2 separate regions of the Mus musculus genome follow, and region 2 is reported to be linked to region 1. The links are microRNA targets in miRTarBase. Many come from high-throughput screens and were not tested one by one. Region 1 holds a microRNA gene; the other region holds the end of a gene's coding sequence.

The links. The annotated mature microRNA mmu-miR-362-5p reads AAUCCUUGGAACCUAGGUGUGAAU and lies in region 1 at 1,247-1,270, shown strand. An mRNA with a match to its seed (bases 2 to 7 or 8) in the 3' UTR can be bound and repressed. Matches are read on the target gene's strand: a 7mer-m8 pairs with bases 2 to 8, a 7mer-A1 pairs with bases 2 to 7 and ends in A, and an 8mer does both.
Region 2: the mRNA of Maneal is a reported target of mmu-miR-362-5p. Seed matches in the 3' UTR shown: 7mer-m8 at 1,978-1,984.

The regions. Positions count from the first base shown.
Region 1 is chrX:7,238,790-7,243,288 of GRCm38, reverse strand. It overlaps Mir362 (microRNA 362), which reads left to right and starts at 1,243; the gene lies at 1,243-1,307. The region is part of intron 2 of Clcn5 (chloride channel, voltage-sensitive 5); the gene reads left to right. It overlaps Mir501 (microRNA 501), which reads left to right and starts at 1,938; the gene lies at 1,938-2,046.
Region 2 is chr4:124,853,140-124,857,638 of GRCm38, reverse strand. Maneal (mannosidase, endo-alpha-like) reads left to right here. Exons shown (of 4, transcript NM_001007573.3): 4 at 400-2,400. The coding sequence ends at 1,036. Yrdc (yrdC domain containing (E.coli)) reads right to left here. Exons shown (of 5, transcript NM_153566.2): 4 at 3,623-3,765; 5 at 2,397-3,164. The coding sequence ends at 3,092. Among named protein-coding and RNA genes, the nearest start is that of Yrdc, 4.6 kb to the right of the region's middle.

The DNA of each region.
Region 1 (4,499 bases):
TTTACAGATTCTCCGAGTCACTGATATTCATGCCTCCTTCACCTGGCTTTTGCATATATGAGTATGACCATACTATTGTAAACAGGACATTCATTTAGACACATGTGTACAAAAATGGTAGTGTAAGAGGTAAAAATAATAGCCAGGGGCCAGGTCCTGCATCCTACTCTAGGCTTGCATCTTACCTAATTTTTTTGGTACTCTTTAAAGAGATAGCATTTGTTATTCTCATTTTTTAGAAGTAGTCCATGACCTTGGAGAAAGCAGGTAGATTCTTTAATCCAGTACATGGTGAAGTATAGGTTTGAAACAGGGTTTGTAGATACCAAACTCCACAGTTTCTCTGTCTTATCCATGATGCTGGTAAGGTCCCCAGCATCACCCAGCCCCTTTTAGAAATACAAAATCTTGAGCTCACTAATGAGAAACCTCTGTAAGTTATCTTAGTACCAAGTCCTCCAGGTATCTGAAGTAACTTTAACAAGATGCTGATGTGTGTTAAAGGATGCCAATCTCTACTGCCATCTTGTGAGCTTATGGCCTCTTCTCTCTGTCTCTCTGTCTTTTTTTCTTTCAGTATTTTGTATCTCTGGCTTTATATTTTTATAATCTCAGAACAAAATATGAATGTATATATTTAGACAGGTTTCTCTGTCTCTGTCTGTCTGTCTGTCTGTCTGTCTCTCTGTCTCTGTCTCTCTTTGTCTCTGTGTCTGTCTGTCACTCTGTCTCTCTCTCTCTCTCTCTCTCTCTCTCTCTTTCTGTGTATGTGTGTGGAGGGTGCAGAGGTCAACCTGAGGTGCTTCCCCTTTGGGGACATCTACCCTGTTTTTTGAAACAGTCTCTAATAGGGACTTGGCACTCACCAGTTAGGCCAAGGGATCTAGCTTTCTTTGAGTCCTCACGCTTGGCTCTTTTATGTGGAGGCTGGGAGTTGAACTCAGGTGCCTAGACATACTTAATGTGAAGCTCAAGAACATTGTCTTCTTTCTCATCACAGATAAGCACCTTGTGTCAAAGGTGAGCCCATGCGTTCATTTGCTGTGAGCCTTTTGCCCTGCTTCAGTTCTCTGATCCTTGCTACCTGGGTGAGAGTGTTCTTCAGCAAGGATTCTGAGAGCCAGACCTTTGTGTTTGTAAAGGACAGAGCGCATCTCTCGTTCTCTTTTAGTGTGTTGCACACAAGCATATTGACCACACACAGGAAGGGCAGGTTCCTGAGCCTTCTTGCTTGCTCCCCCTCTCGAATCCTTGGAACCTAGGTGTGAATGCTGCTTCAGTGCAACACACCTGTTCAAGGATTCAAAGAGGCTGAGCCTTGTCTGCGTGTAGAATGGCCCATACTTGCACATCTCACCTGCCACCTTCCCTCCTCCTGGCCACCATTTGATTTTGGTTTTAGCTGTCAGACTTGGTTCTACACATTTTCTAACAGCAAAATGGTCTTTATCATGTTTGGTAGACATGCTTCTATTCTCAGCATGAGCTTTCTTGATTCCCAGTTTGCTAAGTGTCAGATCATGTGATGAGGAGCACACATTAGGTGCTGCTACTCAGGCAACCCGTTTGTTACATCCAGTGATAACCCCTGTTCCACAAAGCTTGAATTGTATAAAGGCATTGGAAAGGAATGGAGTATCCTCCTCCACTGTGCCCTCTTTCAGTATGTATATGCATTCTCAGATCCCAGCCTTCTTGCTACCTTCCAAACATAAATCAGGCCCCCACAAATTCTCAAGTATGATCTGGGAGAGATACCATTTTGTATACGTAGAAGTTTTCTCTGAGAGAGGATGCTCATGGTGGGAAGGGGGCAGATACATATATAAATCAGGGATGTCAAGCTTGGGTATAGGTGGTGATGCTTGGCTGAATCAGGACAAGGAAAATTAAATATTATATACAGAACCACACAAACATGGTACAGGTGCCTGGGCCTTCTGCTCTGCTCATCCTCTCTAATCCTTTGTCCCTGGGTGAAAATGCTATTTGTATGCAATGCACCCGGGCAAGGATTTGGGGAAGGTGAGCCTGATCTGCATGGAGAAGGACAGGAGGTCTGTGCATCATATCTCATCTGTTTGCTGCTTGCATACTTCTTTTATGCCTCCCCCCACCTTCTTTCCTTCTACAAATACAACGGGCATGGTGCATGGGAGAGTAAATGTGACAAATTTGGCCTCTTCCCACCTAGATTTTATAGGTAGAACTTTATTTCCACTTATGACCCTAACAGGTATCAAGAACAAGTGGGGCACATAGTAAACTGTGTATTGACATAAGTGCGCAGCTTTTCATTCTAGTTCTCATACCGACACCTGGAAGAGAAATTCTTCTTTAGTTCAACTCTTGGAGGAATGCACAGGGCAAGAACAGTAAGCCTTCTTGTTGAACCCACATGCCAAGGGCATAGGTGCAGGCTGTGCCTTTCTAGTACTTGCTACTTGGATGAGTGTGCTTTGCGAATGCAATATACCTGGGCAAGGGTTCAGACATTGAGTTATCTTCATGTAGGACCTTTACGCCTCCTTCCACTGTTTCCTGTCTATTTATTCAGTATGGCAGGTACTCAACTAGGGATTTGGTCCACAGGAGTATGAACCACATGTGGTTCAGGGAGCAAATGGTCCAGGGAGAGTGAGCTGTGTCACATCCATTATGCCTGCATGAGTGGACTGTAGACTGGGACTTCATGTACACTGTCCACTTGGATTCTTCCATATTTTAACACAGTCCCATATAAATGCAGTGTATACAGAGGAGAGGATTCACAGACTTGTGCCCACAGAGAGGATTATCTGACCTGATTCATCAGGAACATTAATCCTCAGCACAAGTGCTGTTTTCAATAGTAAGTCCTGTCCAAGGAATCCAAAGGGTGGCACTTCGCCTGCACTTTAAAGGACAGAGCCCCTATATGTCCACACCCCTGTTCCTTTTCCTTCCTTTCACAAATATTCAGGTATGCACTATTTGATACAGCTCTGTTAGTCATAGAGGATGTAGCAGGAAACAAAATGAACAGAGGTGCTACTCTCTTAGGAGACTAATAAACACACTAAGATCCTTGACTATTATAGACTCACCAACTGCTGTTCAAAAGAATGACCTAGGTCTATTGTTCCTTGTTTTCTATTCTGTATGAATGACTCAGTGCAGGGTCTGATAGATGAGATTTCTCAAACTATTCCCCCTCCCATGGCCCTAGATATGCCTAAACACATGGGCCTACGTGGAGAGGAGTCACTCGCTCACAGGAAGAGTGGATATGGAGCCTATTGTGTTGTTCCCTCTCCTCATCCCTTCAGCCCGAAGACCAGTAGACTAAGTGACTTCTTGTCAACTACCATCACTACTCCCATTTGAAGACAGGAGCTTACTGTCTTACTGTGTAGCTCTGTCCCTCAAGCTGATTCTCCTATACCCACCTCCATAGGTCATACTTTTCTACACACATTTGCAAGCTGGCCTGGGCAACATGTGATCCCAAAAGAAAAGTGAATCTCTTTCATGTTAAAAATAGTAGTCTTTATATCATGTATATTTTTTATTCAGATGAGGGAGGTCTAACTAAGTAGCTTAGTCCAGCCTGGAACTTGCTGTCTATTCCAGAGTAGCCCAGATCTCTTGGTTCACCTGCCTCAGGCTCTGGGTGCTGGGATTATAGGTCTGATGTGCCACCGTGTCCAGATGCTTCATGTTCTGAATGGCCATTTACAGTGGTGATTCTCAAGGCAGGATCCCTGAATCAGCAGCATCACCGTCACATGGGAATGCATTCAAAGTGCGGAGTTCCACCCCTGACCTATCAGGTCATAACACAGAGCAGTTTATATTCTCTTTAAGCCTTCCAGTTGATTCTGATGATCACTCAAATCTTATAATCACAGAATCCAGCCAGGTGAGGGGCTAGAGAGGAAAGAGTTCCCTTCTTTCTTATGTATGTTCATGCAGGCTGTCTGGGAGAAGCTCAGCTGGTCTCTCCTGCCTTCTCATTCCCACACTTGATGATGGCATGTGGGCAAATGAATATGCAACAAAGAGAGAGAAACCGTAGCATGATTTCTGTAGGCATGTACCTAATATTATAGACAGACACATAATTGGTGTACAAAACCAAAACCAACTCAAACACTTCCTTGTGTGCATGGATTACACATGAGAGTGGGCCTTGTCATCATGAATCTTCTGCCAGGTGATTTAATTAGCACATGTTGACTGTTCACTATGCTGTGCTATGTGTTGTTGCAGGAGTGTTCTGCTGAAGAGCATAGCTTTCTCCAGAGGAGGGATGTGTGGTGAGATTTGCTTTCCTACTGAGAGAGCAGTCATTCAGGGAGCTAGGAAGTAAGAGCTCTCAGTCTCGTGTGTGTTTCCATGTGGATGCACATGTGACATATGGAAGTAGAGATGTAGTTCTCTGAATACCTAAAAGGCAGGAGAGGAGACATAATCGCAGTCTATGCTTATGTGCATTGAACTTTCTTCTTACACACTAA
Region 2 (4,499 bases), not on the chromosome of region 1:
GCAGAGAGAACTAGCATGTGGAATGTGCTAAGATGAGACAAGCTCACATGAAGCTTAACAGAAGGGCCAGTTAGGCAGTGGAATCTAATGTGTAGTAGCTGAAAATAGGTCAGGTCAGACCAGAAACGGGAATCCCTACAGGCCATGGTAAGATTATATCCTACAGGAAGGCAGGAATAAAGGCTAGATGCCAATTAGGAGATTGTTGCTGAAATTCTGATGAAGATGGTGGGCAGGCTGGGGAGAAGATGGGCTTCGGGAAGGGGGCACGGTGCTGAGAAGGGAGGCAGGCTAATACTTGAATGCATAGACAGGTTCAATATGTAACCTGCTGGATTCCAGAGTGCTGTGAGCTAATCTTACCACAACCAACCTAAGCCTCTCCCTCCTGCTCCTCAGGTATGGCTCCCACGGTGCATTCTACCGTTACAAGAATAGCATGGGCAAGAGCCTCCCACTCTTTTATATCTACGACTCCTATCTGACATCCCCTGAGGCCTGGGCCCACCTCCTGACACAAAATGGGCCTCACTCTATCCGCAACACTCCCTATGATGGGGTCTTCATAGCTCTGCTCGTGGAGGAGAGCCACACCCACGACATCCTCGCGGCAGGATTCGACGGAATGTACACCTACTTTGCCTCCAATGGCTTCTCCTTTGGCTCTTCCCATCAGAACTGGAAAGCTGTGAAGAACTTCTGTGATACCAACAACCTGATGTTCATCCCTAGCGTGGGGCCTGGGTACATTGATACCAGCATCCGGCCCTGGAACAACCACAATACTCGGAACCGGGTCAATGGCAAGTACTATGAGACAGCCCTGCAGGCAGCCCTGACTGTGAGGCCCGAGATAGTCTCTATCACCTCCTTCAATGAGTGGCACGAGGGCACACAGATTGAGAAAGCTGTCCCCAAGACGACGCCAACTCGCCTGTATCTGGACTACCTGCCTCACCAGTCCAGCCTGTATTTAGAGCTGACCCGCCGCTGGGCAGAGCACTTCATCAAGGAAAAGGAGCAATGGCTGATGTGAGGGACTCTCACGCAAACAAACCTTAACAGATCACCAAACTGGTTCAGTTGGGGATATAGGCACTCGCTAGTCCCAAGTAGCAACTGGGAGCTCGTGGGTGGACCAGCTGGCTCATGCAGAACAGAGCCTGGCACCTGGACTGGCGGTGCTGGGAAGCAAGACATGATGAAGCAGGAGGGGGCAAGTGGCTGCAATGGCTTAAGGAACCTCCAGGTCCCTCAGCTTTCAGCTGAGGCAGGTAGTTGTATGGAGTTGCGCAAGCCGCCATGCTTAGGAGGGTCTCAGGGTTCTAAGCTAGCATGCACCTTACTTCCCTTGGACAGCCACCTTCCCACATCTTGCTGAACACAGGGAACCACATCTGACACTTCTAAGAGGACTTTAAGGTCCTTCCAGTAGACTCCTGTGCCCCATTATCAGGAACACTGAGCACCCATACTAAGCACCTATTGCCTGTCAGGTGCTGGGGAATTTGAGCAAGGTTTCCTTCCCAAAGCTTACAGGATCCTGCTTTTGGTATAACTGTAGCTAGCACCTCGGCTGTTTTCGCTCTTTGCAGCTACACCCAGGCCTGGGAGTTCAGCTATTTTTTCCTCCAAGATAATACCTCTGTGACCCGGAGCCTTTCCCAGATGAACGTTTAGCTGCAGAGAGGACTAGGTCACTCCTTTTAGCTGCCTAGGCCGGGGAGGCCACTCACTAGGGCCACTTTCAGTGCTACTGTGATTTGTATTAAGTATGAAATGGTGTATGCCAGTACACATTCCTCTTCCAGTTCTCCTAAGTGCTGACCACTAGGTCAGTCTGGGACACATCAGTGTATGGCTAGGCTGGCTAGCTTTAGCACAGTGGAGATGGATCTGCTTATAAGACTAGTTTACATAAGATTTCTAGGGAGTTAACGAGCCAGTGCTTACTCACAAATAAACTAATGCTACTTGCAAGGATCCTTGGTAAAGTAAAACCTGATGAATATTTTCAGCAAGATTCTTGAAAAGGAAATGTTCACTAGACCCTTCTGGACTGGTTTACAGGCTAAAGCTGAGCCTTTAACTCTGGGAAATGGCTGCAGATGGAGGAGGTGAAATACTGGTCACTGCAAGGACAACCAGCCCAGTCACCGACACTTAACCCCCGAGACAGATCAGCTGGGCTGACCACCCAGCTTGCAGCTTAGTTGAAAGGGCTGGATTTAACCCTGCATATATATTGTGGATACAGCAAGGCAGCAGGAAGGAGCAAGCACCCTCAGATTTTCTGAAGACTAATCTACATCAACAGCCATAATGCACACATATATCTTGACTGAGAAATCCTACTCTAAGGAAATAACTCAAAAGAAAAATAAACCATTTACAACTGTTTGTAGAAGCAATATTTAATAACAACAAAAGAAAATACAGTTCAAATACCCCAAAATAATTATGTAAATACTTGGTAGACATATGAACAAGGATAAAAGGCTTCTGCATAAACAAAGAAGCTAAATAAATTACACATAAAACTATACCAATAAATTAGAAAGTCACCGGCTGAAAAAAGTCAAGATTTTATTTTTCAATATTTCACTTGGGACCCCTAGAATAATTTCCCCAATAACCACTCCCCTGTACCCAGACAGCTTTGCCCTCGGCTCCTAGACTTTGCTGCGTTGGTCCTAAGACTTCTATTCTAGACTGCATTAGTGCTTCTGGCTGGTTTGACATCAAATGTCACTGTTCCCCAGAAAGCAGCTTTTAATGCATTCTAATTCTGTACTCAAGTTACTTAAAGGGGGTGGGGGTGAGAGGGGGCACTTAAAATAATAAGGCCACTCTAAGAACATCCTTCCCTCCATTTAATTCTTGGCTGACAAATAAATGTACAGAATAAATAAATATAACCTTCCCCCGGGGACAAGGCTCACCCTGCAGCTTCTGGCTGGCCTACAGGATTCAGAGCCAAGGATGCTGCCTAAAAAGCTAGGCTATAGATGTAGGAACCTCAGGCAGTGAGGCTTTGCCATCCAGTAGCAGACACATAGTATCCAGCATGGTCCTTGGGTCCTCCCAAGTTTCATGAACAGGACCCCTGTGAAGGGAGCAGCCCATATTTCTGCTGGAGGATCGATGTAGTGTTTTCCAGGGCACTGAGGAAGATAGAAGGTAGTTAAGAGTTTGACTTCTCAGAAGATGGAGTACACCAAAGTCTGAGTAGCCTAATTCTAATTACTGTCCCACTGTTAAACAAACTTGATGAATCTTAAAAAGCCAGCTATACCAGCAAATTTAGTCCCAGCCCACTTAACACCTCTCTGTGGCAGCCCTTAGTGGTCCCTTTAAAATGGTAATGAAGATATGCACTTTTTTGGTTAAGTTTTTGTTATTTTTGCTTTCAAGACAGGGTTTCTATGTGTAGCCCTGGTGTCCTGGAATTGCTTTGTAGACCAGGCTAGCCTTGAACTCACAAGAGATCTGCCTGCCTCTGTCTCTTAAGTGCTGAGATTAACGGCGTGAATTAACACTGCCTGGAGAAAACCTGCACTTTAAATCTTCTCTTTTCTCCAACCTCCCTCACATTCCCCAGAGGCACAGGAAAGATACTTACCAGCCTGGGCGAATAATGCCAAACTTTCCAGGCACAGATAAGTCAACCACAGTAGAGCCGAGGCGACACTCAGGGCTCTGACTATCCCCAATTGGCCCCCCATCAATGACAAGGGACAAATGAGGCCAGAGGTCTTGGAACTCCTGAAAAGAAAGAAGGTTAGGGCACAGCTGAATTATCATCCTGAATACACAGCTCACATTTAAATATAATTATCTTCCTTTAAGCAGCATAGAAACCTCTTAGTACCGTCAGCTAAGTCAAGGGCACAATTAACACCAGGATCTGATATGTACCACGTCTGAAGCCTCCTTAGGTATGCACTCCTTAAAGAAAACCTTAATGCAATAAGAGGAATTCCAAGTACTGCAGGGATGGGGGAGGCTTAGGTCCAAAAAGTGGCGTGCTGGGTATGAGCCAGTCTTTCCGTATCTGTGTGATGCATGTAAATTACTTCACTCAGGCCCCTAAAGCAAAGCTCTAGCAGCCTGATCCTAGACCTCAGTGGAAGTTAAGAACTGTATAAACACATGCCACCAGCACTCAGCCCCTAGGCTACAGGGTGTACTGTTAACAGAGCTTGATTTCTTCTGGCCCCAGTAAAGAGTCTTCAATGCAGTTAGGCAGGGAACCAGCTATAAATCAAGCAATGACTGTGCTGGTCTAGGGCCGCTGACAAGGTAAAAACTTACTCCTCCTCTGGGAAGATTCCCACCCACGTCCACAGTGTATAGCTACCCGGAGCAACTAAAGCAGATACTACATTTCCAATGTCCCCAGGTCTGGCATAGAAAACCCCAGCACTTTACTGCAGCTAATGTTAAGTGTTGGAAGAACAGAACAAAGCTCCTTTGCCTGTTCATTTGTCCTAAACTAC